Linked DNA regions of Notamacropus eugenii. The protein of the gene in region 1 purifies or fractionates together with the protein of each later gene. This does not show direct contact. Links are inferred from orthologs where the notes say so. Each region holds a gene or a part of one and is shown in the gene's direction. Other genes may lie near its edges.

Evidence for each region.
Region 2: the proteins of ZMYND8 (region 1) and MTA2 purify together in Homo sapiens (affinity purification with mass spectrometry; 3 studies listed by BioGRID and IntAct, with this or other methods). This does not show direct contact. The link is inferred for Notamacropus eugenii from reciprocal best matches to the Homo sapiens genes ZMYND8 and MTA2.
Region 3: the proteins of ZMYND8 (region 1) and MTA3 purify together in Homo sapiens (affinity purification with mass spectrometry, with the first as the bait; 3 studies listed by BioGRID). This does not show direct contact. The link is inferred for Notamacropus eugenii from reciprocal best matches to the Homo sapiens genes ZMYND8 and MTA3.

The regions. Positions count from the first base shown.
Region 1 is NC_092872.1:519,722,690-519,733,020, forward strand, and holds the start of ZMYND8 (MYND-type zinc finger-containing chromatin reader ZMYND8), read left to right. Parts: upstream 1-5,970; 5' UTR 5,971-6,235; coding exon 6,236-6,374; intron 6,375-10,331. UniProt on the Homo sapiens protein: Chromatin reader that recognizes dual histone modifications such as histone H3.1 dimethylated at 'Lys-36' and histone H4 acetylated at 'Lys-16' (H3.1K36me2-H4K16ac) and histone H3 methylated at 'Lys-4' and histone H4 acetylated at 'Lys-14' (H3K4me1-H3K14ac).
Region 2 is NC_092873.1:15,724,125-15,734,441, reverse strand, and holds the start of MTA2 (metastasis-associated protein MTA2), read left to right. Parts: upstream 1-5,894; 5' UTR 5,895-6,002; coding exon 6,003-6,030; intron 6,031-6,974; coding exon 6,975-7,042; intron 7,043-7,673; coding exon 7,674-7,767; intron 7,768-9,265; coding exon 9,266-9,383; intron 9,384-9,572; coding exon 9,573-9,636; intron 9,637-9,958; exon of another isoform or gene 9,959-10,040; coding exon of another isoform or gene 10,041-10,073; intron 10,074-10,317. Other genes in the region: EML3 (echinoderm microtubule-associated protein-like 3), read left to right, coding at 315-470, 700-841, 1,605-1,756, 1,880-2,005, 2,090-2,221, 2,460-2,527, 2,623-2,711, 3,028-3,125 and 4 more. UniProt on the Homo sapiens protein: May function as a transcriptional coregulator. Acts as a component of the histone deacetylase NuRD complex which participates in the remodeling of chromatin.
Region 3 is NC_092872.1:667,598,465-667,608,567, reverse strand, and holds the start of MTA3 (metastasis-associated protein MTA3), read left to right. Parts: upstream 1-5,275; 5' UTR 5,276-5,589; coding exon 5,590-5,617; intron 5,618-8,410; coding exon 8,411-8,478; intron 8,479-10,103. UniProt on the Homo sapiens protein: Acts as a component of the histone deacetylase NuRD complex which participates in the remodeling of chromatin.

The DNA.
Region 1 (10,331 bases):
CACATAGGATGTTGATGGTTTCTTCACCTATATAATAGGGAATTCTCTTCCCCTTAATTTTTTCTCTCTTTGTAAAGTCATCATGGAAAGAGCAGGAGGCCTAGAGCCACTTCTAGTCCCACCTCTGCCATTAAATTCACTGTGAGATCTCAGATATGTCATTTTTCTTTTCTTGGCCTCAGTTTGTCCTTCTGTGAAAATAAGACAATTGTGTTAGATCATCTTTGTGGCCCCTTCCAGCTCTGACATAGTATGTTTGATGCATCTCAGTGACACTGGTGGATAGAGTATTGAACCTGGAGTCAGGAAGATCTGAGTTTAAATCCTGCCTCAGAAGGTTTTTCTAGCTGTGTGACCTGGGCAGATCAAGCACTGTCTCTCAGTTTCCTCATCCATAAAATGGCCCCCAGAGTTGTGAGAATTCAATGAGACGATTTTTTTAAAGCACTTTGTAAAGTTTAAAGAGCCATGTAGATGCTGGCGATTACCTCCATTGTTGTTGTCTACCAGCTCTGGCATTTTAGGTTTTTATGATTCTTTCATTTTCCTTGACTGCATTTGATGAGGCAGAAGTTCTCAGTGTTACTTCTCTTTGAGTCTTAGAGTTGCCATAGTTCTGGATTCTGAGGGGAGCCAAGCTGGGGGAATGCATTCTTCTGTTTTAATCATGCGTTCAGAGCGGAATTGGGCATTCATCATTAACAAATATTCACCAACCAACCACGTGCTACGCATGGCTAGGAACAGGTAGAAATGCAGAGGAAATAAGACTGTTTTCAGAAATCATTTATAGCTTAGTTTTCCCATCAAAATGACTTCTTTGCAGCTTTCCAGGTAGGATGTTCAAAGGATTGCAGATTCAGAGCTGGAAGGGGGGACCTTAGAGTCTGTCTAGTTCAGTCTCCTCCTTTTTACAGATGGGGAAACTGAGGCCAAGAGGTTAAAATCACTTGTCCAAGGTCACACAGGGTTAGTGTCAGAGGAAGGATTTTAACCCAGATCTAGGTTTTTTCTATTGTTCTGCTGTCTCCCATCCCTCTGTCTTTTCTTCCTGCCATGTTCTTCCTCTTTACTTCTTGTTTTTGTTTTTGGAGGCAGTTGGGGTTAAGTGAGTTGCTCAGGGTCACACAGCTAGTAAGTATCTGAGATGAATTCCAACTCAGGTCCTCCTGACTCCAGGACTCATGCTCTGTCTACTGTTATCTCACTCTTTACCCCCTCTTAATGTTTCTCTCCTTCAGGGCTCGAATAAAGTGCTACCTGTAACCACCGTTAGCGGCTTATCTTTGGAAATTACTTTGCCTTTGGTCATCCTTGAACCTTTAGTTTCTCAGGAGTAGGATTGGAAGTTATTTGAGGGTAGCAGCTGTTTTGTCTTTGCTACGCTGGGGCCTAGCTAAGTCCCTGGCATCTAGTGGGCTTTTAGTGAAGGCTTGTTGAGACTAGAGTAATAGTTGTAGAACATAAATGAACACATGGTCTTAATGTTGGTTAATAATCATCCTGTTTTGATGTGTGGGGGATTCACATGTCCAACACAATCTTTCATACCCCCTCCTTTTTTTTAAAAGGGGAGAGTAATTATTTTTTACACCCCGTATCACAAATTTGTATGAGGTTTTTTTGGACCCTTCTACATAATTTTTGTTTATATGGTGATAAAGATGACAATTCAGTTGTGTATTGCCATAGTTCTAACCTCCTAGCCCTTGTCTATAGTAGATTGTAGATATTTTCAATGCATGGAATTAAGTGAAGTTCTAAAACCGGAGAAGGTAACCCATCCGTCTAGTAGTACTGCTACTAACTGAAGTGTTTTCATTGTGGTTTTACAGAATGTTTTACACTTATCCTCTCATTGAATAACCACAAGGATTAGTATAGCTTTTTTTCTTCCCATTTTACAGATGAGTAACCTGAAGTCCAGGGCTGAAATGACGTGTTTTATGACCAAACAACTGTTAAGGGACAAAGCTGGGATTTGAACCCAGGTCTTGTGATGTCCCTCTTTCTTCTGTGCCATACTTTCTCTTCATCCTTCGTTCTCGAAGAGGAGCAGTCACGATGATGAAGAGAGGTTTCCTGTAACAGTGATAGTCACTGCTCACATTTTAATAGTGATTTATGGCTTTACAACAACTGGGGAGATATTGATTATTGTCATTATTAGCTACAATCATCATTATCATTTTGGAGTAGAGGAGCTAAGGCCCAGAGAAATTAATTTTACATATTATATATAATAATTGATGTTAAATTTACATATTATGCAAAGGGCCCTCCATCTGGTGATAGAGTCCTGGTTCTTCTCTTGACTGGTCACACAGTAGCCTGTCTGCCTCGAGTTCCTTGAAGGCCCCAGTTATCACCCACCTTCTGCTAGGAGCCTTCCCAGCAGATCATCTCCATTTTATTCTCTCTCTCTATCTTGTCCCCCTCCCTCTCTCCCCACTAGACTGGGCTTCCAGGGCAGGGTGTGTCTTCTGCCTCTCCTTGTTATCTCCCAGCCTAGCCCTGGGCCTGGTAAGTAGTAGGAGCTTTATAAATGCTTGTTGACGTGACCCAGCCAGACCATTCAAGCTGAGACTCAAACTCAGGGTGGTTTACTGTATACCGTGAACATGATCTTCCCCCCCAGGGCTGCTGAATGAAGTGAGGTCAGAGGTGGGACGGGTGAAGCATGTTTTGGCGCCTTTTGGAAATTTCCCTGACATGGGTGGGCTTTGGGGGAAAGCGAGGCCTTGGGCAGAACATGATCCATGTTTTGCTCTTAATTTAAAGAATCACCTGCCCCTCTTTTCTCTCCTCCCCTCTCGTAGCTTTTCTCCCTCTGATTTCTTCTCCTCCCCCCCCCCCCCCCGCCCCCCATTTATTCCTTAAAGAGTAGAACCTTTCTCCTGTCTGGGAAGCCTTCCTGCTTTGTAAATGTGCTGGCCAAACGCTCCCTTGGACGCTGCCAGCTGCACGGAGCGGACGTTGGTGCTTTAGCAGAATGCTGGGGCTCCTATGATAAATAATGCAGACAGGAATTCCGCCTACCTGCTAGTTACGCTCCAGAACTGGTGAACTTGGAATTATTGGTAACCAGGCATTTAAAAGCCAAAGGAAACCAGTCGTACGGCATTTTCTTCACCCTGATTTGGCCTGACTTTTAAGTACTTTTTTTCACATGTAAATAAATTGAACTGAGCCAGACCTGCAGGGCTCAAGCTGTAATAAGGACTGCATATATCTGGGATTTGGGGAGGCCCTTTATTTTGCTTGTAAAATTCCACACCAGCTGGCACTACCCCAACTAGGAAATTCCTGTAGAGATGTCCCCTAGTTTCCTAAGGCTTCATCCTAAAGGAGATTAGAGACCTGGTCGAAAAACTTCTTTCATTCTGGTCTAGCAATTGTCCAGAAGCAGCCGGGAATTCATTTGCAAATCAGGCTCATTTCCCCAGACTTGCTACACCCTCAGTCTTGCAAAGCTGGTTCTGCTGTTTTCACCTTTTGCATGTGAATATGCCCCTTAATAGCTTTCTGACCCTGGTTGGTGTGGGCTTAGCCCTTGCTGTTCTGAGTTCCTGTTGGCTGACATTCCAGCAGAAAAAAGCTCCTTTGGGTTACATTCTGAGAGCGCACAAGATGGTGCCCTTTTCCTAACTAGCATGGCCGAGAGGCATGCCATATTTACAGAACTATTGATCATGCTGCAGCTCTACCTTGCATTAATGAGCAGGACAGTTTCTATTCTGTTGCATGTATAGCATTTGGTGCAAATAGGCCTGTTGCTGTGAATTGCAACAAAGACTTTAATCTGAACTGCACTGCTGTCACGTTTGATAGATTACCGCCATAGCAAATATCTATAAACGGCTTTGGTGGGCTAGGCCACTTCGGCTGCACTGTACACAGGACATTGCAAAGAGGTGGTGGGATTCTAGCACCAGTGGGGAACCTAATAAGAGAAAGCAGTCGCAGCAATAGGAGGAGATAACTCCCAGCCTCTCCTTTCCCTCCTCCTCCCTGGGAGAGGCCTTCTCACTAATAACAAGCCAGCCGGGGAAAAAGCCTGCAAGCAGAAGCCTCTTGAAAGCCCTCCTCTGATGTGGCTGTTCCTGCTGACCATCACCCATCTAATTTTTAAATGGCTGGTAAGTGCTTTTTCACTGGGTTTTGGGTTTCTGGCCTTCTGTGCTTTGAATTTATATTTTCCTCTGGATCTTGTTCCTGCGGCCCCCCCCTCCCCTTAGTTACGTATTTCCTAATGTCTGTTTCATATTTGGAAATTGACTGTTTCTCCATACTCCAAACCTGCGAGAAGCCTCAGAACCTTTCATTGATCTCAATGAGAATTTCACATGAACAGGAGGTCCCTGATATCAAGGCTTGGTTGGGTTTGATATCAGTTATATCTGTTCTGGAAATAGATGTGCCCAGCCAGAAGAGATTGCTTTTACATGCTAACTTTGAGGACCTTAAATAAAAGCCCCCATTTCCAGAAACAGTGTCTATCTAGTTTCAGAGATTGTGAAGGGCTGTAATACAGGGTGGCTCTCTAAAATAGTTTCTTTTTTAGTGTGATTTGGCTTGTTTTGAAATATCTAGGATTATAGTGTAGAAAATCAGGGCTTCCTGAAGAACTGTAAGTCTCCAGGTTTTTGCACGTGTCTGATTTGGCTGGGGCCTGCTTTCTCTTTGGGGCTTTGTCTCTCCCGGTGTTTTCCCCGCCTCCCTCTACACCCCTTCCCCCCCTTTCTGTGTGTGTGTGTTTTCCCCCAGGCATTTCTGGGGTTTTGGTTCATTATAGTTTAAGTATTGGCTTGGGAGTATTCTGTTGCTTCTAAGTAGCATGTCCTGTTTGGGTACCCTGCTCTCTGGGTCTTTAAAAAAAATGCTTTGAAATTATTAACTGTTTTCTGCTTTGTTGCCCTAGAGAACAGCATGTGGTCATGTTTGAAGTAGGCAATGGAGAGTGTTAGCAATTACCCCAAGCGCAATCTCTTCATTTATACCTGATGGTCCAATAATATCTGGGTTCTGTGCTTATGCTCAGGCTTCATTCTGGGAACGGTGCTTTCCTGTAGATGTAGTGTGTTTGTAAATTCATTTGGAATAGAGCGAGCAAGCCCTGAAGGCTTTCCAGTCTTCATTTTGTTTGCTAGACTCATCTTGGATTGTCCAGTTTGCCAAAATGGGCTCCTGGTTACAAGTATGGAACTGGTACTTCTTTGTGGAAATACTTTGTGCTGATGGATAGAGGGTAAACACAGTTGTTTGCTGCTGGAAAAGCCTGTGTTTTCCAGGGATGCGATGGAGGAGAAAGTAGAAAAAGAAACCCAGACTATGAAGAATGGACATTCTCCTAGAGAATCCTTTTTAAAAATAAAATTTAAATACATAAATTCAGCAGATCTCATGGTGTAGTAGAGTGGAAAATGTGTTGGATTTGGGGGAAAGGACTTGAGTTTTGGAATCCGACTTCTGACCCTTAACTATCATCAACGATGTCAATTTTTGGGCACTTCATTTGGGCCTCATTTTCTTTATGAAGGGGGTAGACAAGATCACCCCTAAGTCCCCTTCCCACTCTAAATCTAAATTAAGTTCAGAGAATCAGCTTTGTAGGAGCCGTGATCAGTAAACAAGTTAAGGTCTCACAAATTGTGGCTTAGAGCCAGATCTAGATCTGTTCGGCTATGTTAGCAACTGGCTTTGACACTTTCCTCCCCTCCCCCTCCCAGTGATTTCAGTAGCCATTTGTTATCATCCTTCTTTTATCCAGGCTTATTACTGGCTACCACATAGGAGATGGTCCAGACAATTGTGCTGTCAACAGCATGAAGTAATTTAAGACACCCAAAAATCTAGTACAGGCCCAGGGCCGGGACTGGTAATCACTAGGCCTGTCTTTTCCAGCCTGAGAGACTAAAACAATTCCCAGTAATGATGCGTCATTTCCTGGGCTGGAGAGCTAAGAGCTCTGAGGAGTCTGTGTGTGATCCCAGAGGCGGATGTGGGGGAAGGAATGCCCGATGGTCAATGAAATGGAGGTGTCTGCTGTAGATCTGAAGGGAGCTGTGTGTGTACTAGGAGCCTGATATATGAGCTGCACAGGGCCTGCTTGTAGTGGAAGGGGAAGCAAATGCTGCTTCAGTATAGGAGCCAGGAAACAAATGTATATTTTGGAACATACATTGGTGTTCTGTCCTGGTTCAGACTTGAACAGGCTCATGTGAACACCATTTAAATGCAGCAAGAAACAAAACAAAAACAAGCCAGCTCCATTAATCCAAAGCCCAGCAGCACCCACGTTCCGTTCCTCAGCCACATACGACAGAGACAGAAGAGCCAAGAACAAAGGAGACAGATGCCGATGGAGCGAGATGGTGAATGTGGTTTTTAACACTGATTCCCTCGCCCTCTCTAGCTGAGGGAAGAAGAGTCCTTGCTTTGGGGCAGAAGTGGAAGGTTTGCTCGATGGCATTGTTAGTAATTGGGGTTGATGTGAGGCCAATAGGAAAGTCAAGGCTTTAGTTAAGTTTTAAAAGAGCATTTTGAAATGGAATTGTGCTTTAAATTGAAAGCTGTTTCTGGTCTCAGTGCTGGAGCTAAGCTCACATGACTGTCTCTTCTTCCAGTTAGTACTCCAATACCCAGCAGGCTTTCCAGATTCATGAGATAGTGTTTGAATGTTGTCAGGGGAAAATATTCTATTTCATCCTGCTTTCTCCATGCTGTGTTCCTGAGTCACTCTTTTTAGAAGTAGCACCTCCTACACATTAATGCTTCGTGAACCTCTTGTGTATATTTTTCATATATGTGTGTATGTATACATACATATACATACACACTTTATATATAAATGTACATACACATGTAATATGTATAGGGTGGAACTAGATTTAATCAGTGTGGGAGAAATTTCCCCAGGAGGAAATGCCTTCAACCCCTACAAATCCATACCTTTTCTTAACTGTAAATTGGGGATGATAATAGCACCTAAAAGTGAGGTTGGTGAGGATCAAATGGAATAATATTTGTACAGTGCTTGGCACATAGTAGGTGATTTACAAATGCTGGCTATTATTATTAACTGTGATAGTTTTTAGGCTTGTTCCAAGTTCCATGATCTGTGTATCTTTTGGAGGCTGTCTTTGAACCGGGTCATCATAATTCTGAGGTGTGCTTTCTGTTCATCTATTCTCTCAAATATATTTTAAAAATTCTTTTTGGGGAGGGGAAGGGGAGAAAATGATAAGAGGGAAGCAAACTGTGTGCACCAGGCACAACTCTGTCTTTCATGTTAGTTTGTAAGCTTCTTTTGATTAGAGATTGTTTCATTCCTTTTACTTGTATCCCTAGGGCCTAGCACTATCCCTGACCTGTAGTAAGTCTTTAACAAGTGTTTGTCCAGGCAAGTCAACTAGTGTTTAAGGGCCTACTGTGCGCTAAGCACTGGAGATACAAAGAAAGGCATCTTCCCTCCCCTCCCCCACATTTACCAGCTCAGGGAGATTACAATCTAATGGGGAGAGGGGGCCACATACAAACAACAATCTTGTCATACATACAAGACATATACCGGATAAACTGGAGATAATCAACAGAGGAAAGGCATTAAGGCCTAAGCATTGCTTGTTGATTGATTATTGATTGACCTCTTTGGTAAGAGATTTCTAGACCTATTTGTACAGTATTTTAATTTAAATTTCCTCACATTTCTTTAGCCCTTTAAATTTTATAAGGCACTTAAGATTTGGAAACTGAGGTACAAAGTGCAGCGGCCAGCACCAGGGTGACAGGGAGCACATGGTGTTTGGCGTATAGTAAAGGACTGATAAATCAGTGCTTGTTGGCTGCTGTTGTTAATCATCATAAAGAGAAGCTGGCATTTATACAGGGTGTCCCCAAAGCCTTTGTTCTATTCTAAGCTTTCACAACTTGAGCATGGCATTAAGTCTTTGGGTGGGGGTCTTTTAGCTCTTTAGGGCTTACCATGAACTTCACATACGTTATTTAATTTAATTTTCATAATATCCCTGGGAAGTAGGAGCTACACATATCATTATCCCCATTTTATAGATGACAAACCCGAGTCTCATAACTAGCTTGTTCGTGGTCGCATAAGCTGGTAAGTGTCTGAGGTGGAATTTGGGCCCAGGTCCTCCTGATTCCAAGTCCATTATCCGATGAGAGGCAGGATGATGCAGTGAAAATGATTTTGTAATTGGAGTCAGGAGATAAGGGTTTTACAGAGGAGAAAATCAAGGTGCAGAAAAAGGAACTATTCTTTCCAGTGTGCTCTGAAGTCGTGGATAGAATGCTGGATCTGTTCAGCTCCTGTGATCTGTCTCTTCTTAGCTCTCTGACCTTGGGCAAGCCTGTATCCTCTTCAAGTTTACTTACGTTTTTTTGAGGGGAGGATGAACGAAAAGGGTGTTAATGCTTGTACTGTTTACCTCAAAGGATAGTTGTGAGGTTGAAGTTCATAAACTTCAAAATGTGGTAGTAGGGATGGAGATTGTGATTTCACTGGTGTAGGGAACTACTGGGAAAAGAAACTCCCTCAAACTCTGTACAGGTGGATACCTTCTCTTTAGCTTTTGGAGGGTTGGGAACACCACTGAGAGGTGGATTTCCCTGAGGACACATGGACGTTCATGCTTCCATCCAGGTCTTTTCCATCTCCAAGGCCAGCAGCAGTTAGATTAGGCCATTTCATCTACAAATGTCCTTGGTATAGGTTCTTTCTGTTTGGAGATCCTCAAAATAAAAGTTGAATAACTTTTGAGGGATTTTTTAAAAAAGCATTTGAAAAAAATGTTTTTATACCTTTCTCTATGTATGGCAGCCATGTATCCTGGATTTTTCTAGCATAGTACTGATTTTGAGAAAAGCAAGTATGTTCTTAATGAAATTTTATAAAAAGAACAACTTTCATCAGACCATATGTCCTGATTTTTGCTCCAGAAAAAAAAATGGTCATTGTATCTCCAAGACATCTAATTCAGTGGAGAAATCCCCTTAAAATAGAAAAACTCCTTAATTTTTCTCCCAAGATGCCTTCATTTTTGGCTCTTTGGTATTGACAGATGTGTGACCTGTTAGATTTCTACCCTTCTGATAACAGATGCCTAACCCCCACTCCAGTGGGAATTGCTTGTGTTTGTAAATAGAATTGGGCCTAAGGGTTTGTGTTGAGAGAACAAAAAAATTCTTAGACCATGGCTATGTATCACATGGGCAAAGTCTCTTCTTTGCTTGGTGCCTTATTTTGGTCTGTGAAATGAGAGGCTTGAATTAGATCTCACTTAGGCCCTTTCCACACCTTGATTTTATGTTCTTTCTAGGTTTTTTTTGGTGGCTCTTTTTTTACCCCCTGAATTGAATCATATGTTCACCTGGAACAGGGAGGTGAAGGGGAGGAGAGAGAGAGAAAAGGAAGGGGAGGAAGGAAAGAGAAGGAAATAGAGAGGGATGGAGAGTTAGACCCACAGGGAGATAGAGGAGGGGGGAGCAAGGGAGAGAATAAAAGATCACGAGGAAGGATCTTGAGTAGCACAATCATTAATCTTATTTTCTCCTTTGCTGTCTCAGATCCCCTAACGCCTCACAGTTTTCAGCCGTAGTAGGTAAAATAGCTTAATCAGTCACTAAAGAAAACACTAAACTGTGATTGCTTAATGGGAAGGACAAACCTGCCTGAAATTGAACTTTTAGGCTCATGGTTGTAAAACTGAAAGGGATTTTTGAGATATTTTAGTCCACCTCCCTTTACGTTGTTTTAAAGTTGAGGAAACTGAGAACTTGAGAAGTTAAGTGACTGTTCAAGTTCACACCAAAATGTGTAGAGCTAGAATTTGAACTCAGATCCTTTAACTCCAAATGCAGCGAAGTTTCCTTCTTACTGCATCACGAATGTTACAGCTGTAACCACTCTTTGAGTCTTATTTTCTTCATTCCTGAAATGAGGGAGTTGAACTGAATTTGAATGATCTCCTCCAGCTCCAGGGGCAGCTGGGTGTTGGAGTGAATAAAGCACTCGTCCTGGAATCAGGGGCCCTGAGTTCAAATGTGGCCTCAGACACACACTAGCTTTGTGACCCCGGGCAAGTCACTTAACTTGTATTGCCATGTCCCCACCCCTGCCCCCTCCAAAGAAAAAAAAGAAAGAAAAATAAATCTCATCCAACTCTAAATACTTTGATCCTCTGACCTGGCTTTGGAGAAGGCCTCATTAAAATGGCCTGCCTTCTAGGTAGCACAGTGAATTAAATACTGGACTAAGTTAGGAAGATCTGAGTTCCTGTCTTACCTCACACACAGTGTGTGACCCTGAGCAA
Region 2 (10,317 bases), on another chromosome or scaffold:
TGGATGCCTCCCTCTGTGGTTAGCCCTGGCCCCCTTTCAGGAAGTCTTGGTAGTGTGAAGTGGACTAGGGTTCCCACCATTGTCTCTTACTACTACTGGGATGACCCGGGGCAAGTTACTTCTCCCTGGGCCTCAGTTTCTCCTGAAAAACATGAAATGACCTCTAAGGTCCCCTTCAACTCTGACCCTGTAACACCCTGAAGCTTATATTACTTTGAAAGGGGCAGGGTGGGAAGTGGGCTCCCTGGGCTGGACTGGTTTAGGGGATCTGGTGGCTGTCTGTCTGTCTAACCCCCAGGTCTCCTTCCCTCCAGAGTACAAATGACTCTGTTCTGGCTGTCGGCTTCAACCCCCGAGACAGCAGTTGTATCGTCACTAGTGGGAAGTCCCATGTCCACTTCTGGAACTGGTCTATTGGAGGAGGGACTCTGGGCAGTGGGGGACTCACCCGGAAACAGGGTGTCTTTGGGGTGAGATCTGAAGGGGCTTGATGGGTGGGAATGTGTTTGTATGGGGGTCAAGTGGGGATTGTCCCACAACCTTCCCCTACTACACATCCTAGATTTGATCCCTGACCTCTGACCCCCCAACATTTTTGTGGCTCCCTTGTTCCTGACTTCCAAAAGTATAAACTTATCCCTTGACCAGTCTGATGATCTCATGACTCACCTTTAACCTCTACCCTCTGCCCCCTCCCAGAAATACAAGAAGCCCAAATTTGTCCCCTGTTTTGTGTTCCTTCCGGATGGAGACATCCTCACTGGGGACTCAGAAGGGACCATCCTCACCTGGGGGCGGAGCCTGCCTGACTCTAGGACCCCAGGCAGGGGTGGGGCTAAAGGTATTTGATTCCCCCCAGTTCCCAAGGCTTGTCCAGACCTTACCATGAAGTTAGAGCCAGGGCAGTTCCCAGAGGGCGGGGTAGAGAATTGAGAGAAAGAAGGTAGTCCATACAACCCTGGAGAGGGCCCAGGAATCTTCCTGGGGAAAGTGACTTACCCTGTTTGCACCTCAGGTTCTTCATCTGTCGAATGAGGGCCTTGGACCAGATCAGGGATCTGCCTAATGCATAGATTTTAGAAGGTCCATAAACTTGGAGGAGAAAAAAATGACATTTAAAAATTTCCACTAACCCCTAACAGAAATTTAGCATTTCCTTCAATTATTAATATAGGCAACAAACCACACTCATGTTAGGTTTCATGAGATTGCCAGAGGGGCCCATGATACAAAAAAGGCTAAGGCCCCTTCCAGCTCTGACGTTCTGGGTTGTAAGACCTCTTCCAGCTCTGACGTTCTGGGTTCTGAGGCCTCACCTAGTCAGTGTTTTAAGGCCCCTTCCAGCTCTAACATTCTGGGTTCTAAAGCCTTACCCAGTCAGTGTTCTAAGGCTCTTTCCAGCTCTGACATTCTGAGTTCTTAAGACCTCTTCCAGCTCTGACATTCTGGGTTCTAAGGCCCCTTCCAGCTCTTACATTATAGGCTTTAAAGGATTCGTTATACCTGGGCTTGGCCTCAGTCCATCCTTCTTTCCCCCTTCACTGTATCATGACCTTCCCAGTGACCTTGATCCCACCAATCTTGGCCCTCTCTCCTCTACACAGAGACGTTTGGGATCGTAGCTCAGACCCGAGCCCACGAGGGCTCCATCTTCGCTTTGTGTCTGTTGAGGGACGGGACTGTGCTGAGCGGGGGTGGGCGGGATCGACGGCTGGTTCAGTGGGGGCCTGGGCTCACTGCCCTCCAGGAGGCTGAGGTAAGACTGGGACTGGAGATGGGGGAAGGGAAGGAGAGAAACTGAGGTAGATGGGGCTGGGGAGCAGGAGGAAGGTTGTAGGGACTTCTTTCCTCCTGAGATATGGACATCCCCCACCTCCAGATCCCAGAACAGTTCGGAGCTGTCCGTGCCATTGCCGAAGGGCTGGGCTCAGAGCTGCTGGTAGGGACCACAAAGAATGCGCTGCTGAGGGGAGACCTGACTCAGGGCTTTTCCCCTGTTATCCAGGTTAGTGTTTGTGTGGGGCCAGAGGAGTGTGGGGCAGGGCAGTGAGGAGATCCTATAATGTCATCCAGCCCTTGTATCCCATAGGGCCACACTGATGAACTCTGGGGTCTCTGTACTCACCCCTCCCTGAACCGCTTCCTTACCTGTGGCCATGACCGGCAGCTCTGTCTGTGGGATGGGGAGTGTCACGCTCTGGCCTGGAGCCTTGATCTTAAGGTACTGTTGCCATGAACTTTATCTCCTGAGACCCCCTTCCCTGACCTCCCCCATAATCTTTAGGGAATCCAGTCATCTCTCCCAGGGCTAGCCCTTCCTTCCCTTTGAGAAGCATTGAGGGGAGATGGGCTTTGAGTTCATCAACAGGCGGGGTGATCTGGTGGGTTCCCCCCATGAGAAAAGTATCTCCTTGAATCCCAACCCCAGCCTTCCATCTCTGACCACCCTCCCCCTCCAGGAGACGGGTCTCTGTGCTGACTTCCACCCCAGTGGGAAAGTTGTGGCTGTGGGACTCAACACTGGGAGGTGAGAAGGGGAAGGGGGAGGAGGGATGGAAGAGGAGATGTTGGGGGTGGTGATGGGCCGTTAGCCACTGGCCTCATGGCCTTCTCTGACCCCAGGTGGCTGGTTCTGGACACAGAGACTCGAGAGATTGTGTCTGATTTCACTGATGGTAATGAGCAGCTCTCAGTTGTCAGGTATAGTCCAGGTGAGAGCCTCTCCCACCCCCTGCCCCCATCCAGAGGCTTCTCTCTCTGACCTGCCTTCTTCCCACCCCAACCCCCATCCTAGTTCCTTTCCTCTGACATTACCTTCCAATTATTCTATACCTCTTTTTGACATACATGATTGCTGGCCCCTTGTCTCCTCTATTCAAAGGTAAGCTCAAAAGCAGGTACTGTTTGGTTTTGGTTTTGTAGTTTTGCTTTTCATTACATCTCCTGCTTCTAGCACACTGCTTGGCCCATAGGTAAGCCCTTAAGAAATGCTTGTTGACTGACTGACTGACTGACTGACTCCTTCAGATGGGATTTACTTGGCCATTGGTTCCCACGACAACATGATCTATATCTATAGTGTGTCCAGTGATGGGTCCAAGTGCAGCCGGTTTGGCCGATGCACGGTGAGTGTGCCCTATGAGCAGAGTGGGATGTGGTGGGGTGCTGGTGGTGGTAGGGGCAGGCCAGCTCTTCACAGTTCTCCTAGAGAATGGCCTGGGACTGGAGTGGGAACTGAAGGCTCCATTTTGGACAGCCCTCTACCCTTCCTTCCCCCAGGGGCACTCCAGCTTCATCACCCACCTAGACTGGTCCAAGGATGGCAATTTCATCATGTCCAATTCTGGGGACTACGAGATCCTCTACTGTGAGGAGGGGTTCACAGGGGTGGGTCACTGGGGTCAAGTTTTCTCCCCCACTATGACTCAGAGCTAGGGTGGTGGTGATGGGGGACTGTGGAATTTGGGGGCAGAATCCTGGGTTTGAGTCCCAGCTCTGTTACTTACTCTCTGGGAACTCTGAGGATGTCACTTCCTTTCTTCAGCTTTCCATTTGCTCATCTATAAAGTGAGATTTGGGTCTGTCCCAGTTCTGACGTTCTAGGTTCTAAGTTCCCTCTAGGCTCCAATACTCTAGCTTTTAAGGTCCCTCTGAGTGCTTTAGTTATGTGCTCTTAGGTCCCTTCCTGTTTGACATTTGATATTTCTGTTTTCTAAAGCTCTTTCTGGCTCTAAATCCTATCATCTCATCAACCTAATCCATGGAAAATGTGCTAAGCAAAGGCATTTATAGAAAAATTTTCCAGGGGCATTGGGTGAGAGGGGTGACTTCCAGAACATGGATTTGCCAGGATCTGGAGCCCAAACCCCTCTGGACTGGCCTTATTTTCTTCAGTTAGCTGGGTTGATGGAAAGGGACTGACCTAAGTGGAGCTTCCCTCCTTCCCTTCCTCTCAGGGGACGTGGCAGGGGGTTGTAAGCTGCTGAGAAATCGGTATGAGAGCCGGGATCGCGAGTGGGCAACCTATACGTGTGTCTTGGGTTTCCATGTGTATGGTGAGCACCAAGCCTGGTGAAGGCAGCTGGGAATATTGTGAGGAGGGCAGTGTTACAACACTGAGAACCACTGCCCTTGGGTGGAGGGAAAGGTCAGAAGCATCGGGGCCGACAATGCCGCATTGTGGGTCCCGGAATGTCCGAGAACAATACCTGTGGGTGGCTGGGAATGTGGGAGCTTGGAAGGAGGAGGAAGCAGGAATGAGGAGGGCTTGACTTGGTAGGCGTGTGGCCGGACGGATCTGACGGGACTGACATCAACTCGTTGTGCCGGTCCCACAATGAGCGAGTGGTCGCAGTAGCGGATGACTTCTGCAAAGTGCATCTGTTTCTGTACCCGTGCGCCCGGGCCAAGGTGAGGGGTCTCTTCCACCTCACCCACTCAGAGGCCAGGGGAGGGGCTGGCGGGGAAGAAGGGTGCGAGAGCTGCTGAAGAGTGGGTGGGGGTGAGGAAGAGGGGTGTGAGTCGAAGCCAGAAGAGGCAGGGGACTCCAAGAGACACATCATTCCGGAGTAAAGAGACTAGGATTTAATTGCTGGCCCTGTGACCTTGGGCAAGTCGCTTCCTTTGAGACTCAGTTGCCTCATTTGTTAAATGGTGATATCTAAGTTCTAAGTCCTGCATAACTGGGCTAGATTCCACCTATTTCTTCCCATTCTGTCCCCACCCTCACCGCTAGGCCCCCAGCCGAAAGTACGGAGGTCATGGCAGCCACGTCACCAGTGTCCGGTTCACTCATGACGATTCTCACCTCATCTCACTGGGAGGAAAGGATGCGAGCATTTTCCAGTGGCGCATGCTGAGTGGTGGGGGCCCTGGACCAGCCCCCTTGACACCCTCCCGCACCCCTTCCCTCTCCCCCGCCTCCTCGCTGGATGCCTGACCCCACTAGGACTAGATGGAGTGGGTGGGGTTAGAGGGTGCTTTTCCCCCTACCTCCCATCGCCCCCATCCCCCTCCCAAGGACCAGGAGCCCCCTCTTCCAACTTCGTTGCATTCCGTGCCTTCTCCCGGTCGGGGAGGGGCGTTGGGACCCCCCAACACTGTACAGAACCGCAGGCTGAGCCGAGCAGCCCCCGCCCTCCTCCTCAACCCTGCACCCGAGCAGGGTCAATAAAACAGATGCCAAGTCCCTCTGCAGCGTCCCGTGTGTCCTTCTGCAGGGGAAAGGCGGGGAGGGGTGGTGGTGGCATGGGGTAGGGTTAGAGAGATCCCTGGTTTGGAAGTTAGAGAGCAGGGCTGGAGGACTTCCTCGGGGCTGCCTTAGTCTCCTACTCGGTACCAGCAGGGTGGTTGGACGCGGTGCTCCCTCCCTAAGGGCGATCCCCGCTCTCAGGGTCCAGGATTGACCAGAGTGGGGCAGTGGAGTGTGCTTGAGCTGGGGCTGGACCAAACCAGGAAAAGAAAAGACCAACGGGGCCCATGCAAATGAAAAGCAAAGGGTATGCAAAGGTCCGACTCTCCCTGCTGCGGCCGCGAGTCGGGCTGCAAGGCTGAGGCGAGGAAAGGGTTAAAGTCTAGGCCCCGCCCCTCCTTCCCGGCCCCACCCCTCCCGGCCGAGGAGGCGGAAATGCCCGAGCGCCAGAGGCCGTGGGCCGGAAAGAGCCGAAGCGCCTCCGGAAGTGGCCGAAGCGCGGGCGCCCGTCCTTCGGGCGCAGCCGGAAGGGTTCCGGAAGGGCTCGGCGCTGAGGCAGGGCTCTGTTTGGACGAACCGAACCGCGGACCCGGGACGCTGGGCCGGGGGGGGGGGGGGCCGGAAGCAGCCGAGCGGGCCCGGCGCCGGCCTCGGCGCGTCCTGGGCGGGAGGCGGCGGCGGCGGCGCGGGATGAGCCGGGGCTGAGGCGGCGGCGGCGGGGCCGGGACCGGGGCAGGGGCCGAGCAGGGCCGAGCAGCGCCGGGGTCTCCCTGCGGCCGAGCCGGGCGCCCGCGGGCCCCGTCGGGCGGCCATGGCGGCCAACATGTACCGGGTGGGGGGTGAGTACCGCGCGCCCCGGCTCCGCTGGAACCGGCACGAGCTTACCGGGACCGGCGGGGGGGAGGGCCGGGCGACTGGGGGGGGGGGGGGGCGGCACGAGAGGGGCGCATGCGCGCACGGGGAGCCTTGCCGGGGGTCCCGGTAAGAGAGGACGCATGCGCTGCCATCCCCCTACCCATGGGGGGTCCCAGGCGGGGGGGGGGGTGCGCAACGAGACTTAAGTGGGTGAACTTGACCGCCGAGGCCACAGCAGGGGGGCGGAGTGAGGCCCGGGGCGCTCTGGGCTGCTGGTCACCTAGTCCGGCTCAGTGCTCTGAGTGCCAGGGCAGATCTCAGACGCCCCACCTCTGGCACCATAGGGCCCTGGCTGGCTCCGGGATCCCCTATAGCGACAGCGCTGCCCGCGGGGCAGAACTCCTGCCCAGATCCGCCTCGGGCGATTGGGAGGCTCCTTGGCCCTCCGTCTGATGGGCGGGACCTGAGTTCGGATGTAAAGAGCTTCGGGTGTCCCAGGGCAGGAAAGCCCCCCCGACCCTTTCCACCTGAGCAGCCCCAGTCACTTTCCCTCCTCTGTGCTGGAGGTTCGATTTGAACCCGGGCTTTACCGGCTCGAACCCCTATCCTGAGTCCTCCTCCGGATCCAAAGGGACAGCGCCTGCCCTGCCTTAGAGCTAGCTAAGCCTGGCCCAGAATCCGTGGGCAGGGGTGGCTGGAGGCCACAGGCTGCCCATGTCCTGGTCAGCACTCCCGGGCTAAAGTGCTCGCTGGCTTCTGATGTTTGCCATTGGATAGCCAACGTCCAGAACCTAGTAAATGTGATGATGGGAGACCCCCAGAGGGTCTCCACCCTCCCTCTTTCTTTTTTCCTGTTGCATCCCTCCTCCCTCACTCAGGGCTTTGAGAGGCTTCCCCCTCTTGACCTCCTGGCTCTTCCCCACTGCAGATTACGTCTATTTTGAGAACTCCTCCAGCAATCCTTACCTGGTGAGAAGGATTGAGGAGCTCAATAAGGTGAGCTTGTGTGTGTGTGGGGGGAGGTCAGAAGGGGCTTGAATCCTCACCAGGAAGCACATCTGAGAATGTGAGCTGAAGGTTAATCTAGGCACACATGGCGCTTCTGTTCTTTGTGTGGGTGGTTGTCAACTCCACTTCCTCAGCATGGCCTCCATGGGGCAGTGGGCAGAAGTTAGGGAAAGGTAGGTTTCCACTCAATGTGAGGACAGACTTCCTAAGCAGAAGCTCCAGTTCTCAGATATCCAAGAATGAATGGGTAGCCTCAGGATTAACCAGTTTCTCCTTACTGGAGTCTACTGGTAAAGACTGGTCAATCACTTTTAGACAGTATTGGTGGTCTTCTGGGTGGTTAGAATGGAGTGCCTTGGGTCCTTTCTAGATGTGTGCTTCTCAAAGTGTCCTTGCTTGGGTTTATTTTGGCCCAGGCCTAGTTCGGAGCTCCTTAGGTGGGAGGGGACTTGGGAGGCTCTGAGACTGAGCTGCACTCTGTTGGGCACATAATTTCTTGAGGTCTTTTGTCGTTTTATCTGTGAGTGCTTAATATATATTCCCTGTTACTGGCCCCTTTTCCTTAGACATACCTACTTTCTCTAACATCCGGTTTTACCACTTTGCTCTTTCTTCCTAGACTGCAAATGGGAACGTGGAGGCCAAAGTTGTCTGCCTTTTCCGAAGACGGGACATCTCTAGCAGCCTCAATAGCCTGGCTGACAGCAATGCCAGTGAGTCTTTCTTCCCCCTCCTTCATGTCCTCAGGTCTGGGCAGGTCTCTGCAGGTGTTTCCTCTGGTTTCCTGACCAAGGCTGGGGGGGGGGGGATGAATTTTGGGATGGGGGAAGCAGGTCTACATGGAGGGGTTAGGGCTTGTTTTCACATGTCAGAAAAGTAGAATGGAGGAGGAACGTGATGAGGAGAGCCAGTGTTTTCAGGAGGAGAGGACAGTGGGAAATGGGAGGTTTTATGGAGGGTAGAAACAATGAATCTAATCATAGAGAAATCAGGACTTGTGGGTAAGTTTTGAATGAACTAGAGTTATAATGAGAAGGATTGTGTTAGGGTAAGTGAAGAGGAAGGAAGTCCCAAACACACCATGTGTCCTGCCTTAGGATAGGGGCTGTGGTTTGTTTAAATACTGAAGGAGTTGGTCTTCACAGGGTGGAGGCTTTGGGAAGAGGAAGAAACTCCTGAATTTCATTTCTTTTGCTTTTGTCTTCATCTTCCTTCTCTTTGTTTTCTTCTCTTCCTCCCTCTTTCCCTTTCCTAACTTCTCTCCCTCACTTCCTTTTTCCTCTTTCTCCCTTTCTTTTCCCAGTAATAATTCATCTCTATCATTCTTCCCCCCCTTTCCTTTTTGATTTCTTTCCATTGATATGTCTGTTTTCAACTTTTTAGACCAAGGTTCCAGCACTAAAGGGTTAATGGGGAACAAGGCTCTCCAAGTTTCACAGCCCCTTGGGGTTTACTGCCCCATCTGGCAGGGACTGACCTTGGCTTTGTCCAATCAGAAGGGGTTTGGGGGGTGTGGTCCCCTTGCCTTAGCCCTGGGTTTCCGCAGCACAGGCAAGGGGAGGAGTCAGCTGCCAACTCCTTCCCCACCCCCCCTTCTCCCTGGTAGTTGAAACAATGGCCTATGGGTCTGGGCTTCTTGCTATGTTGTTATCCTGCCCCTTTCTCCTTTGCTTGGCACCCATCCCTGTTAACACTTTACAGCTGGGCTTAGCCAGCTTGAGGCCTTTGGTAGGGGAGGGATAGTGTTAATGTTGGGGTGGGAGTTTTCTCTGAAAGATAAACACTAGGATTCAGATAAAGAACAAGTGACATTAGGTTCTGCAGGTCCTACTTTGTCAGGGGGTTGAGGGAGTGGGGGTAGGGGGGGAGGCCTGTGATGTTTGAGGACCTGCTTGGGGAGGCACAGCCTGGTATAACCTCACTGGGCTTTTAATCCTGTTGGCAGCCTGGCTAGGGTTGAGATCCCAGCATGAACTCTTGGGGCTTGGGATGAATTTCTGAGGTTTGGGGGGGGAGGGAGAGAGAAGGGTTATGGAAGCTCTTTCTGATCAACTTTAGGGATGAGGCAGCATTGGGGAGAGTGTGATTGGGGCCAAGATGGAGGAAAGGCAGTACAGGATTGAGAGGCAGACACAAGGAGGGAGGGGGGAGGAACTGGCACAGTCCCCCATTCCCCCCCCAGCTAGCCTTTATTCTCTTTTCATCTCCCAGGGGAATTTGAGGAGGAATCCAAGCAGCCAGGGGTCTCAGAACAGCAGAGACATCAGCTGAAGCACCGGGAACTCTTCCTTTCGAGACAATTTGAATCTTTGCCAGCCACCCACATACGGTAGGGGACAGAATACAGTCATTTCTTTACCCTACCCACAAGGGGCTTCTCTCCCACTGTCTGCTCCTCTTTAGCTGGCAAGTGGAGAGGACCCCTGTTCCCAGTGACAAGGGCAAGTGCTTGGGAGCATCATAGGGGATGAAGATTGGCAATTGTAGACTCAGTGACCTTTCCTTCCTCTTCTTGCAGTGGGAAGTGCAGTGTGACGTTATTAAATGAGACGGACATCCTGAGCCAGTACCTGGAGAAGGAGGTGACCAAGAGGGCTGTGTTGGCAGAAGGGAGGGGTCTGGGTGGTGCCACCATAGTGGGGAAAGCCAGCACAGGGCTGACAGGTGTGGAGGGGGTGGCAGAGGTGGTGCTGCCCACCCTCCCTTAGCTAGTGTGGGGCAGTGTTCCTTGGTGTTAGCTGTGTATGGGTTACTAGGGTAAAAGCAAAGCCACAGCTTACATTTTAATAGGGGAGAGAGGTACATGCAGAATGGCTTTAAATCAATTTATATTCATGGTGCTGTTACTTGAGCTGAATCTCCAGGAAATTGGGGATTCTGAGAGATGGGGGAGGGGAGGGAGAATGAGCCCCCAGTACCTAAGGTGCAGAGGTCCTGAGATGGAGATGGACAAACAGCGGGAAAGCCACTTTTGCCAAACCAGAGGATGCCTGATGGGGAACGATATAGGGCTGAAAAGGCACGTTGAGGTCAGATTGTCTAGGGTCACCAATGGCTCTGTGGAGGGTGGGTTGGAGAGACAGAGATCACTTAGGAGACTAAGGGCCTGAACCAGTCTGGTGGCTGTGAGTGTAGACATAAGGGCTTACGTTAGAGAGATGCTGAGCCCTGGAAATGAGTGGATTTGGAGGCTGGATATGTGGAGGGAGGGAGGGATGAAGTGAAGTCTGGGAAGCTTGAGGACTCCAGGAGAGCCTGGTTTG
Region 3 (10,103 bases), about 150 Mb from region 1:
GTCCCTGGGCTGGGGAGAAACTGCCTGGGTTAGTGTTTTGAGGCCAGGGAGAAATATAATTTTTAGAAAGAAATGTGATTTTAGGATTGGGGTCTAAGCACAGGCACCGAAGTACCCCATCGGTTCCAGTACTATTTCCTAAGTAAGACTTTCCTGATCTCCTAAATTGCTAGTATACTTCTTGGGAAACCACCTCATATTTGACCACTTGGTATGCATTTGTATTTATTCTCTTCATATTCTGAATATACTTATATAAGTAGACAGGTGGTAAAGTAGATAGAGAGACGGATCTGGAGTCAGGAACACTTGAATTCAAACTTAGCCCCAGACACTTATTAGCTGTACGACCTTGGGCAAGTCAATTAACTTTAGTTTGCCTTAATTTTTTCCTTTGTAAAATGGAAGAATAATAGCTCCTACATCTCAGGGTTGTTGTGAGGTTCAAATGAGATCATATTTGTAAAGTGTTTTGCAACTGTACAGCATTATATAAATGCTAGTTATTATTATTATCAATCTATACATTATCTTTCCTGTTAGAATATAAGCTCCATGAAAGCAGGGACTGTCCCTTTCATTACATTTGATCCAAATTAATACTTGCTGATTGATTAAGTTTGTGAGTGAGGAAGAATGTTGAGGATGACCTTGAGACTGCAAACATAGGTGACTAGAAGAATGATGGTATTTCAAAAGAAATAGGGAAATTAGGAAGAAGTAGGGGTTTTTTTTAGAAAAGATAATGAGTTCTGTTTGTGACATCTGAGTTGAAATGTCTAGGGAACATCTAGTTGCCAGTGTCCAATAGTCAGTGGGATTCTGGTTCAGTGGAGAGTCTAGGACTGAATTCATAGACCTGGTAGTCATATGCAGAGGGATGATTGTTGAAACCACGGCAGCTGATGAGACTACCAAGATAGCTAGTACATGGAAGGACAGGGAATTAAGTCCTTGGGTACACCCACATACAGGGGTGTGAACCTGGATCATGTATGATCTGGTAAAAGAAACAGAAAGAATGGGCAGGTAGGTAGATGAACCAGAAGAGTGACATGAAAGCCCAGCGAGGAGATAGTGTCTAGGAGGAGGGAGCCGTCCACAGTGTTAAATACCAAATGAAGTGGAGATGCAAGAAAGGATGAGGACACAGAAAAGACAATGGGATTTGGCATTTAAGAGATCTCTAGTAATCTTGGAGAGAGTAGTTGTAGGTCAAAGATGAGGCCAGAAGCCAGTTTGCCTTTGCTGTCTCCCATTGACCCTCCCCTCCCCCAAGTCCACCCCATCTCCAGACACATAATATTTGAAGGATACCTGCTCAGTCCTGTCTCCCTGAGAGGACTGCTCTCCAAGGTTTGCTATCCAAGGCAGTGTTCCAAGCTCCAGATCCTTCTTTTATCCAATCAATAATAATACTTCTAGGATACTTTGATGGACCTAAAATTTCATATATGTAAGTATTTCCTTCCTTGGTGTAGATCACAGCTGTGGTAGAGGATGAGAAGGTAGAGAAATTGTATGAAAAAATGTGATAAGCTCTTGCAAATTAAATCAACTTATGCCTTAATACGTGGTGACTGTAATGCACATGTGGGTTTAAGGAGTGCTGGCCAAAATATATATGTTGGAAAATATGATTTAAGTACATGAAACAAAATAAAAAAGAAACAAAAGAGGTCAAATACTTGTAGATTACACTGAAGCTTCACATCTACATATCATGAACGTTTTGTTCAACAACAGAATTAGGAGGTGTGAAACAGAACAAACACTGAATAATACAGCTAAATCTGAAATTGACTCAGTTGTAATGGATAGGAAACAACTGGTTACGAGCAGGGAAGTCATTTTCCAATCAGCTGTGTTCAGTTAGATATGGACTGGTTAAAACCAGGATCAAAATCAATAACAAATAAAAATAAGAAGACATGACATGCAATTAAGACAACTCAGGGCTTTAAAATAGCGAACTGCTGCCATGAACAAATGGCTGAAATAGTTGTAAATGCTATCTTTATGGTCTAGTTAGTCATGGATGTGGAGCAGAAATGAATGACTTTGGACTAATCAAAGCAGAAAGTAAACTGGGAAGAAGGCTTGAATATATTTAGCTTATTAAGGGATTAATAGTGGACAAGTTTGTTTTGTTTTGTTTTTTAGTTATTCACAAATACCCAAAGAAGTAAGACGTGATAAAATTGCAATTTTTACATAAGTATTTGAACCACCTAAGCCAAAAAGTGTGATGGGACATTCTAGGAACATTACAGAAATATGGTCAGTAGAAAGGAGATTTATTAAGTTAATTTATCAAATGAATTTAAGCTTATTGGTGTAAACCTAGTCTTCAACAAACAAAAGAATGAGAATTAAAAGAAGAGACATCAACATAAACAATCACTACTTCCTGAAGAGAGGAGAGTACTAGATGTTCTACCACTATTGCCTAAAGAGATAATAATTCTCACCCATTTTAATTCTCTTTTTTCTGGAATTGAAAAAGGCAATACAACTTCATTTTAAAGAATTCAATTCAGTTCAACAACCATCAAGTTTAACTAGTGTAAATCACTTGTTACAATGAAGACGCCAAAAAACCCAAGAAAATTCCTCATTAAGTAGAACAATGATCTTCTCGCCAAGCTGAAATATATGGCAGCCAAAGGCAATGCCAGTCTACAACATTTTTTAGGGGAAATCTCAAAAGGGAGGATAGCAGAAGATTATAAGTATTATCACTTCACAAAATAATGAAAAGTGATAGTGAAAAAAAATTACAGAAAACTTGCAAGAAACCCAATAAAGCCAGATAATCGTGTGCGCATTAAAGGATAAAACTGGGAGGACAATAGAAGATGAAAAATGCAAAGGCTCTATAAGACTTTTTTACAACAACCTATTTTCTCCCTCAAAGACAGTGAAGTCCACCATATTTAGATCCTAACATTATTGTCTCTAATGTGGTACATAAAGAAGTAAAAATAATACTAAGGATAAAGAAGCTGAGAAGAGCAGCTGGGTTAGATTAGGTACCTACTTAAGGGTGCTTCTCTTTCCTCTCTAAGAAGCCAACTGCTGAAGAAGTCTTTTTTCTCTAGGACACTAGTATATGAATATTTATAATCAGAAACAAATTTGGAATTGTCTAGGAGTTAACTTGCAAAGCCTCCCTGAAAATTTATCTTTCCTGGTTAGTAGAACAGATGCCAGAATTATACTGCTTAAGGAATTCACAATCATTCCTTCTACACTGGGGTTCAGGAACAGTGTCTTAAACTCCACCTCAGGACTGGAGAAGCACATATCTATCATTGCCAAGTGCTTTTGCTGTAGGTTGTCAATACTGGTCAAAAGAGGCTGAAAAGGAGAGGTTGCTCTCTCCCTACTTGCAGAACTCTGTAAAAAAGCACAGGGGAAAATGCCTCTCAGTCTGTCTCCCTGAGTTTCAAGCACTGGGAACCCCTTAAGTGTTATCCTGTTTTACATCATTATCTAATTTATAAATTAGACAGGCCTTGATTCAGGTGATATAAAGTGATGGTGATATTGGGATATGTTCTGATTACAATTCTGTGGATCCTGTGCTACCAGACAAATAAAAGTCTTCCTGGGCTCATCTTTGAAACAGACAGGTAGAGCTTCCCTATGTCAGGGGATATTTTGATAAAAGTCTAGTACAATTGTGATAGCTTTAAGCTGAATCATGACAACTTCACCATTGTTAATTTTCTTCTTATGGAAGAGGAAAAGGCATTAAACCAAAGGTTCATATAGCCCTTGTAAAGGTGGAGTTCTTTTTATTAGCCTGAGTTCTCTAGTTTGGCTACACATAAAGTCTTGATTTCATCAAAAAATTTCTGTTTATTGTATCAAAGTAAATAAATGACTTGTCAGAAAGCTAAAAGAGTAGTCTTTCTCTTCTGGAGATTAAAAGAAAAACACTACAAGAATTGGAGCCTGGAATTAATGAGAGAGACGGCTGCTTCTCAGTCAGAAACTCCAAAGAAGGAACAACAGCATGGGGGCATCTTCATGTTTATTAAACAACAATGTTTGGGAACAGTTTGGAACCGATTTAGCTTGGGAACAGTTTAGTTTCACTAAATAAGGTTGTTTGGGTTCATTCGGGGATGTCTAGCTAGCTTCAGACTTTATTTGGTTTCTTGTTTTTGTCAGGATATGAAGGATATCAAAACCAAGTGGTTTGTTTAGAGGACCAAATTGGGAAAAATAACGACCCAGTGGAAAGCTCAGTTGCAAATAACTTGTTACTGTCCATCGCTACCAACCTAGTTGTCTTGTGCTTCTTGCTAATGGGGATGCTCATGGCAGCAAAGGCTGGCTGAATTTCCTTAACATTGACAAAGAAAAAGGAGCCCTTCTATTATGTCCTCTGCCCCCCACCCCTTTTCGTTCTGGATTCCTAGTCCTCTGGAACTATATTTGCCTTCATAGGTCTCTCTGTTTGCAGCTGAGAAAGGCAGTTTCCAAGGGACAAGAGGACAGGAACTGGACCTACAAATTGATGGTGTTATTTAGGGACTGAAACAGTCTTCCACCACCAATCTCCTCCCTTGTATTTTGTGGTTCCTAGTTCAAGGGGAAGTTCGGCACAAGGTTCCTTCAACATGCAAGACTAGCCTTATAGTGAAGAAGGAAGGCTGGCTGAGCTCTCCAAAAGTATTGGCAAAGAGGAAAGCATCATTCCTTATTCTTCCCTGCCTAGGGTTCTTTCCTCCCTAGGTTTGTACACCTCTGAAGCTATGACTGCCTTCATGGGTACCTTCGTCTTCAGCCCTAGAAGAAGCTGGTTGTCCCTGCAGTCACTAAGGGGCCAAGACAGTGGCTTAGTCCGACCTCCAGGTTCCCTCCCACGGTTCTGAACACTTCGAGGGGAAACAGGAGTATCAGACTCTCTCACCTTGCATGACTAGCCAAGTAAACTCAGAGCCACACATGCAGTTGAGGAAACACCACAGCATACTCCCACGTATGGCTTATGTGCACCCAAACTGCAACACACACACACACACACACACACACACACACGAGCTCCCAAGGGTAGTTGCAGAGCTAGAACCTAAAGGGGGTGATTGGGCAAGAGTAGCAACTGTGCGTACAGGTGTGTGGGGGATGGGGGATAAAAGGGGGAGGAGGTCATCGAGGCTGGGATCGTCCTAAATTCCCTAATGGGTTTAAGACCCTGAAATCACCAAGCCCAGGCTGTAGACCCTTAGCTCTCTCTCCACGGTCCCCTCAGGATTCTCCCCAGCGATCTCCCGCCAGTCACCCACGCCCGCCCCTTCGAGGGCAGGGCCCTATTAACCCGTGGCTGGCCCGGGGGGCGGGCCGCTCCCCCCTCCCTCTCCCTTCCCTTCCCCTGCTCTACCTCCTCTCTCACCCCCTCCTCTCCCCCTCCCCCTCCCCTCGGTGAGGCGGCGGCAGCGGCAGCAGTAACAGCAGCAGCAGCAGCAGCGGAGGCGGAGGCGGCTGAGGCTGAAGCGGCGGCGGCGGCGGGCGGGGCTCAGCTCGGGCTCCGGCTCCGGCTCCGGCTCCGGCTTGGGCTAGGCGGGCGGGCGGGCGGACATGGCGGCCAACATGTACCGGGTCGGAGGTAGGATGGAACCCGGGCCTGGGGGAAGAGGGGGCGGGAGAGCTGGAACCCTAACCGCTGGAGAGGGCGGGGGAGGAGAGGTGGGGGGCAGATCCCTTCCCCCCGCCGAGCCCCGCGTGCCCCCTCCCTCTGGGCCTGCGAGGGCCGCCCCTCCCCCGCGCCCCCCCCCCCCACCGCGCGCCCCCCCCCCCGCGGCCCCCCCCCCCCCGCCTTGCTAGTGGCCGCCCCCTCTCCCCGTGCCTCTCTCTCCTTGGCACCCCCCTCTCCCCTCCTGTCCCCTCGCCCAGGGGCCTGCCAGGCCCTCCCCCTCCCCCGGGCCTGCGTGGACCCCTGCCTCCCTACAGGGTCATGAGCTGATCGCCCTCCCATTCCCCTGGGGTAGGAGCTCCTGGTGGTAAGGGCGGTCGAGCATCCCCCACAATGTGGGTGCAGGGCATTGGGGCCCAGTGAGTGTGGAGCCAGGCCGTCCGTCCCCTGGAGGGGGAGCAGGCGGGCAGGCGGGCGGAGGGAGAGCCAGGCAGGCCTGTCTGCAGGGGCAGAGCCCTGCTTCTCCGCCCTCCCCGCTCAGGGGCCCTGCTCTGCCCAGCCCAGCCCGGGCCCCAGCTCCCCCAGGAGGCAGTCGCTGATGGGGAGCAGCAGCGCCTTGGGTTAGCGCCTGCCTCTTCGAAAAGGAGAGCGATAGCGTGAAACACAAACTTTCTCCCTCCTCGATTCCCTCCTGTCCCCTTCCTGACAAAATAATAATTCAGATGAGTGCAGTGCTTGCGTCTGAGAGGCTGCTCCAGCTTCTCTCTCATTAGCTCAGCTCATGGCTAGTGGTGGGAGGGATTGCACTGGTACTGGCTAAATGAGGCCACTTTGCAGGAAAAAGACAGGGAAAACAGGCACCAAGAGAGACAATAACAATGGAAATCCAGCCTCTCAAATAAAACACACAGTGGGAAGTTTCCAGTGAGCCTATTAGATTGAGACAACAAGCCATACTTCAGATTTTTCTCCTTTTCTGTGGAAAGCTTGTTCTGATATCCACATAAATGGGCCCAAAGGGAGTTAGATGATAAAAGGAATTTGGTGTCTATTCCAGGGGACCTTGCCCATGGTAAAGGCCTTCCTGGTATGGTGAAGCATGTAAATGTTTTCAAGTCCACACGCATTTGCTGTACTAAGCCTTCCTCATTGTCTCTTGATCTATTTTTGAAAAGTTACTTGGTCATTGAAATGTCAGACTTAGAAACCTTTAAGTTACGCGAAGTAGTTCTCATATGAAGAAAATGGTGACACTTGTATTATAATTAAAAGAAAATTGGAGATGAGCGGAAAATGGTTGTACCTACTGCCATCATCATATTCCTTTCATGGGATCATAGATTTAGCATTGGATATGAGAGAGCATATTGGGTGCCATTTATTCAGTGGGGGTTGAATAATTATAGCTAATGATGTTTAATCAGCCTGTGGTAATGCAAAGAGCATTGTTTTGAAGTCAGAGGAACTGTGTTCTAAACTCAGTTCTGTTGACTTAGTAAATAGAGTTCAGAAAAGACTTGGACTCAGTGATTAGAATTGCACCTGAACACTTTAGCTCTCTGATTCTGGGCAAGGCATGTAACCTTTCTGATGCTCAGTTTCCTCATCTGTAAAATAGATTAATACTTTGCACCTGTCTCAGAGAAAAATCAAATGAGCTGGCATGGGTCAGTTTTCTTTAAACTTAGAGCTTTTTGTATATGTGAGTTGCTTTTTAAAAATTATTCCTAGGGTAACTATGGGTAAGTCAAACACTCTCTGCCTCCATTGCTTCACCTGTAAGTTCAGAATGTTATACTCCATTATCTCCAAGGTCCCTCCTAGGTCTAGTCACATAGGCTCCCAATGAGGGTGTCATCACTGACTCCTCTCTCACTCTCTCACCCTCACATAGACAGTCTTTGCCAAGTCTTATTTGTTCTTCCTTTGAAACATCTCTTGTATATTTGCCCCTTGTTCTCCTCAGACATTAACGCTGCTCTGGTGCAGGCTCTCTTTACTTGGAGCTTAGACTATGGCAATAGTCTGCTGATAGGTCTTCCTGCCTTACGTCTCTCCATATTCCAGTCCATCCTCCACCCAGTTGTCAGTGGTCTTCCTAAAGTGCAAGTCTGACCAAATTATTCCCCATATTCAGTCACATCCAATGACTCTATTTTACATTCAGGATCAAATATAAAATTTGATTTGGCTTTTAAAGTGCTTCATAATCTGCCCCCTTGTTATCTTTCCAGTCTTATTACACCTTACTTGATAACTTTCTTTCCCCACCCCTTTCATGTATTTTTTCCTCCAGGGACAGTGGCTTCCTTGCTGTTTCTTAAGTCTGTTCTCTCCTTCACCCTGAGATTCTCTCCAATTTATTCTGTGTATATTTTGTAGTATTTGCATGTTTTATTTCCCATTAGATAATGAATTCCTTGAGAATAGGGACATTGCCTTTCTCCAGTTTTATCACATTGCCTAGCATGTAGTTGGCACTCCATAAATGCTTGTTAACATGACTCTAAATCTATGATCCTAGTTGACCATGTTAATTGAAATAAGGATATAAATGAAATTCATTGCCTGTAGATAACAAACATGTGGGCCATGTACTGTATATTTTATTTAAGCTTGGTTTTACATAGTGAATGAGCTGAGCTGAGAGGTGTGGAATATGAATTGTATAATTTTCATGACTTCAATTAGATCGGTGACAGAATAATACTATTTTTTGCATGCTAATTTTGAAGATATTAAAATATTTTTTACCTTTCCTTGCAGATTATGTTTACTTTGAGAATTCCTCAAGTAACCCATATCTAATCAGAAGGATAGAAGAACTTAATAAGGTACATACTAACTTTTTCCTTTGGTCTGGTACACTGGAATTTTTACACGCTCTTGGGTGGAAGGCACAAGAAGTTTTAACACTTTATATTCAAATTTTAGATCCCAAACTTTTTGAATGTTGACAAATTGAAATACATTTTGGTTCAGAGTCTTGAATTATTTCTTGCCTATCATTGCCTTTGAAATAACCATTGCTGTTAACTAGACCATACTTGATATTTGTAAAGTGCCATAAAGTTTACTGAGTGCTTTTTTACATTATTGCATTTTATCTTCACAGTTGTGATGTAGATACTACAACTATTATTCTCTCCTTTTTGTAGGTGAGAAAGCTGAGGCTCAGAGGTTGTGAGTTGGGTAAAGTCATGATATCATACCCATGATATTTGTAGATGGCACTCAGCTGGAAGATACAGTGGACACACTGGATGACAGAGTCAGCATTTTAAAAGATCTTGAAAGGCTAGAGCATTGGGCTGAATCGAATAAGATAAAATATATTGAGGATAAATGTTAGTTCTTGTACTTGGGTACAAAACATCAATTTCACAAGTCCAGGATGAGGGCAGGCATGGAAAGCTGTTTGGGGAAAAAATGGACCATTAATGTGTTTAGATCATATGACTGGATAGTGTGATGTTGCAATAGCCAAAAAAACTAATGTGCCAGGGGGCTACATTAAGGGAGGCAAAGCTTCTGGGAATAAGGTGGTTATATTAGTTAGACTTCATCTAGAGTACTGTGTTTAGATCTGGGAACCACAATTTAAGAAGGACATTAATAAGGTGGTAAATATCCTGAAGAAGATAGCCAGGATAATGGGAGGCCTAAGAGTTTGTGTCCCATGAGGAACTGTTGAAGGAACTGGAGGTGTTTAGCTTGAAGAAGAGAAAACTTCTTAGGGTGTGGCAGGTGGGTTCAAGGATGTGAGGGCTGTCATCTTGAAGAAGGATTAGGTTTTTTAGAAGGCAAATCCACAGCAGTAGATGGAGATTAAAGAGACTAATTTACATTTGATGTCAGAACAAGTTCTCAACAATGAGAGTTGTTCAGTTGTGGAATGAGCTTCCTTGGGAGGTTTTGAATTGTGCCTCATTGGAAGTCTTCAGGCGGAGTTTGGGTCTAGATGGCCACCAAAGTCCTTCCCAACTCTCTAGTCCTATAATTCTCATTCTGTGACATAGCTAGTGACTATCAGAAGCAAAATCTGAAATAAGGTCTTTATGACTCTAAATCCAGGACTCTATCCACCATGTCATGCTGCTTCCCAATGTATATTGGGTGCTTATAAACTTCTTGGAACCTATCTGGGAAATCACCCATATAAAAATAAATGATGAACATGTATGGATACCATCTAAATGTCTGTGTTCACTTCTGATATTGAGTTGTAGCTTTAATTCTTCTTTTGATACATTTTTATGTACTCAGATTTTATTGCTTCAAATTATCAAGCATTTATTAGGTGCTTACTATATGCCAGGCACTGTAATAAGTGCTGGGGATACAATGAGAGACAAAAATGGTCTCTGCCCTGGAGGAACTCACAATCTTATGGGGGAAGACAACATGCAAACTGTGTGCAAATAAGATTTAGATAGGATAACTTGGAAGTAATCTTAGA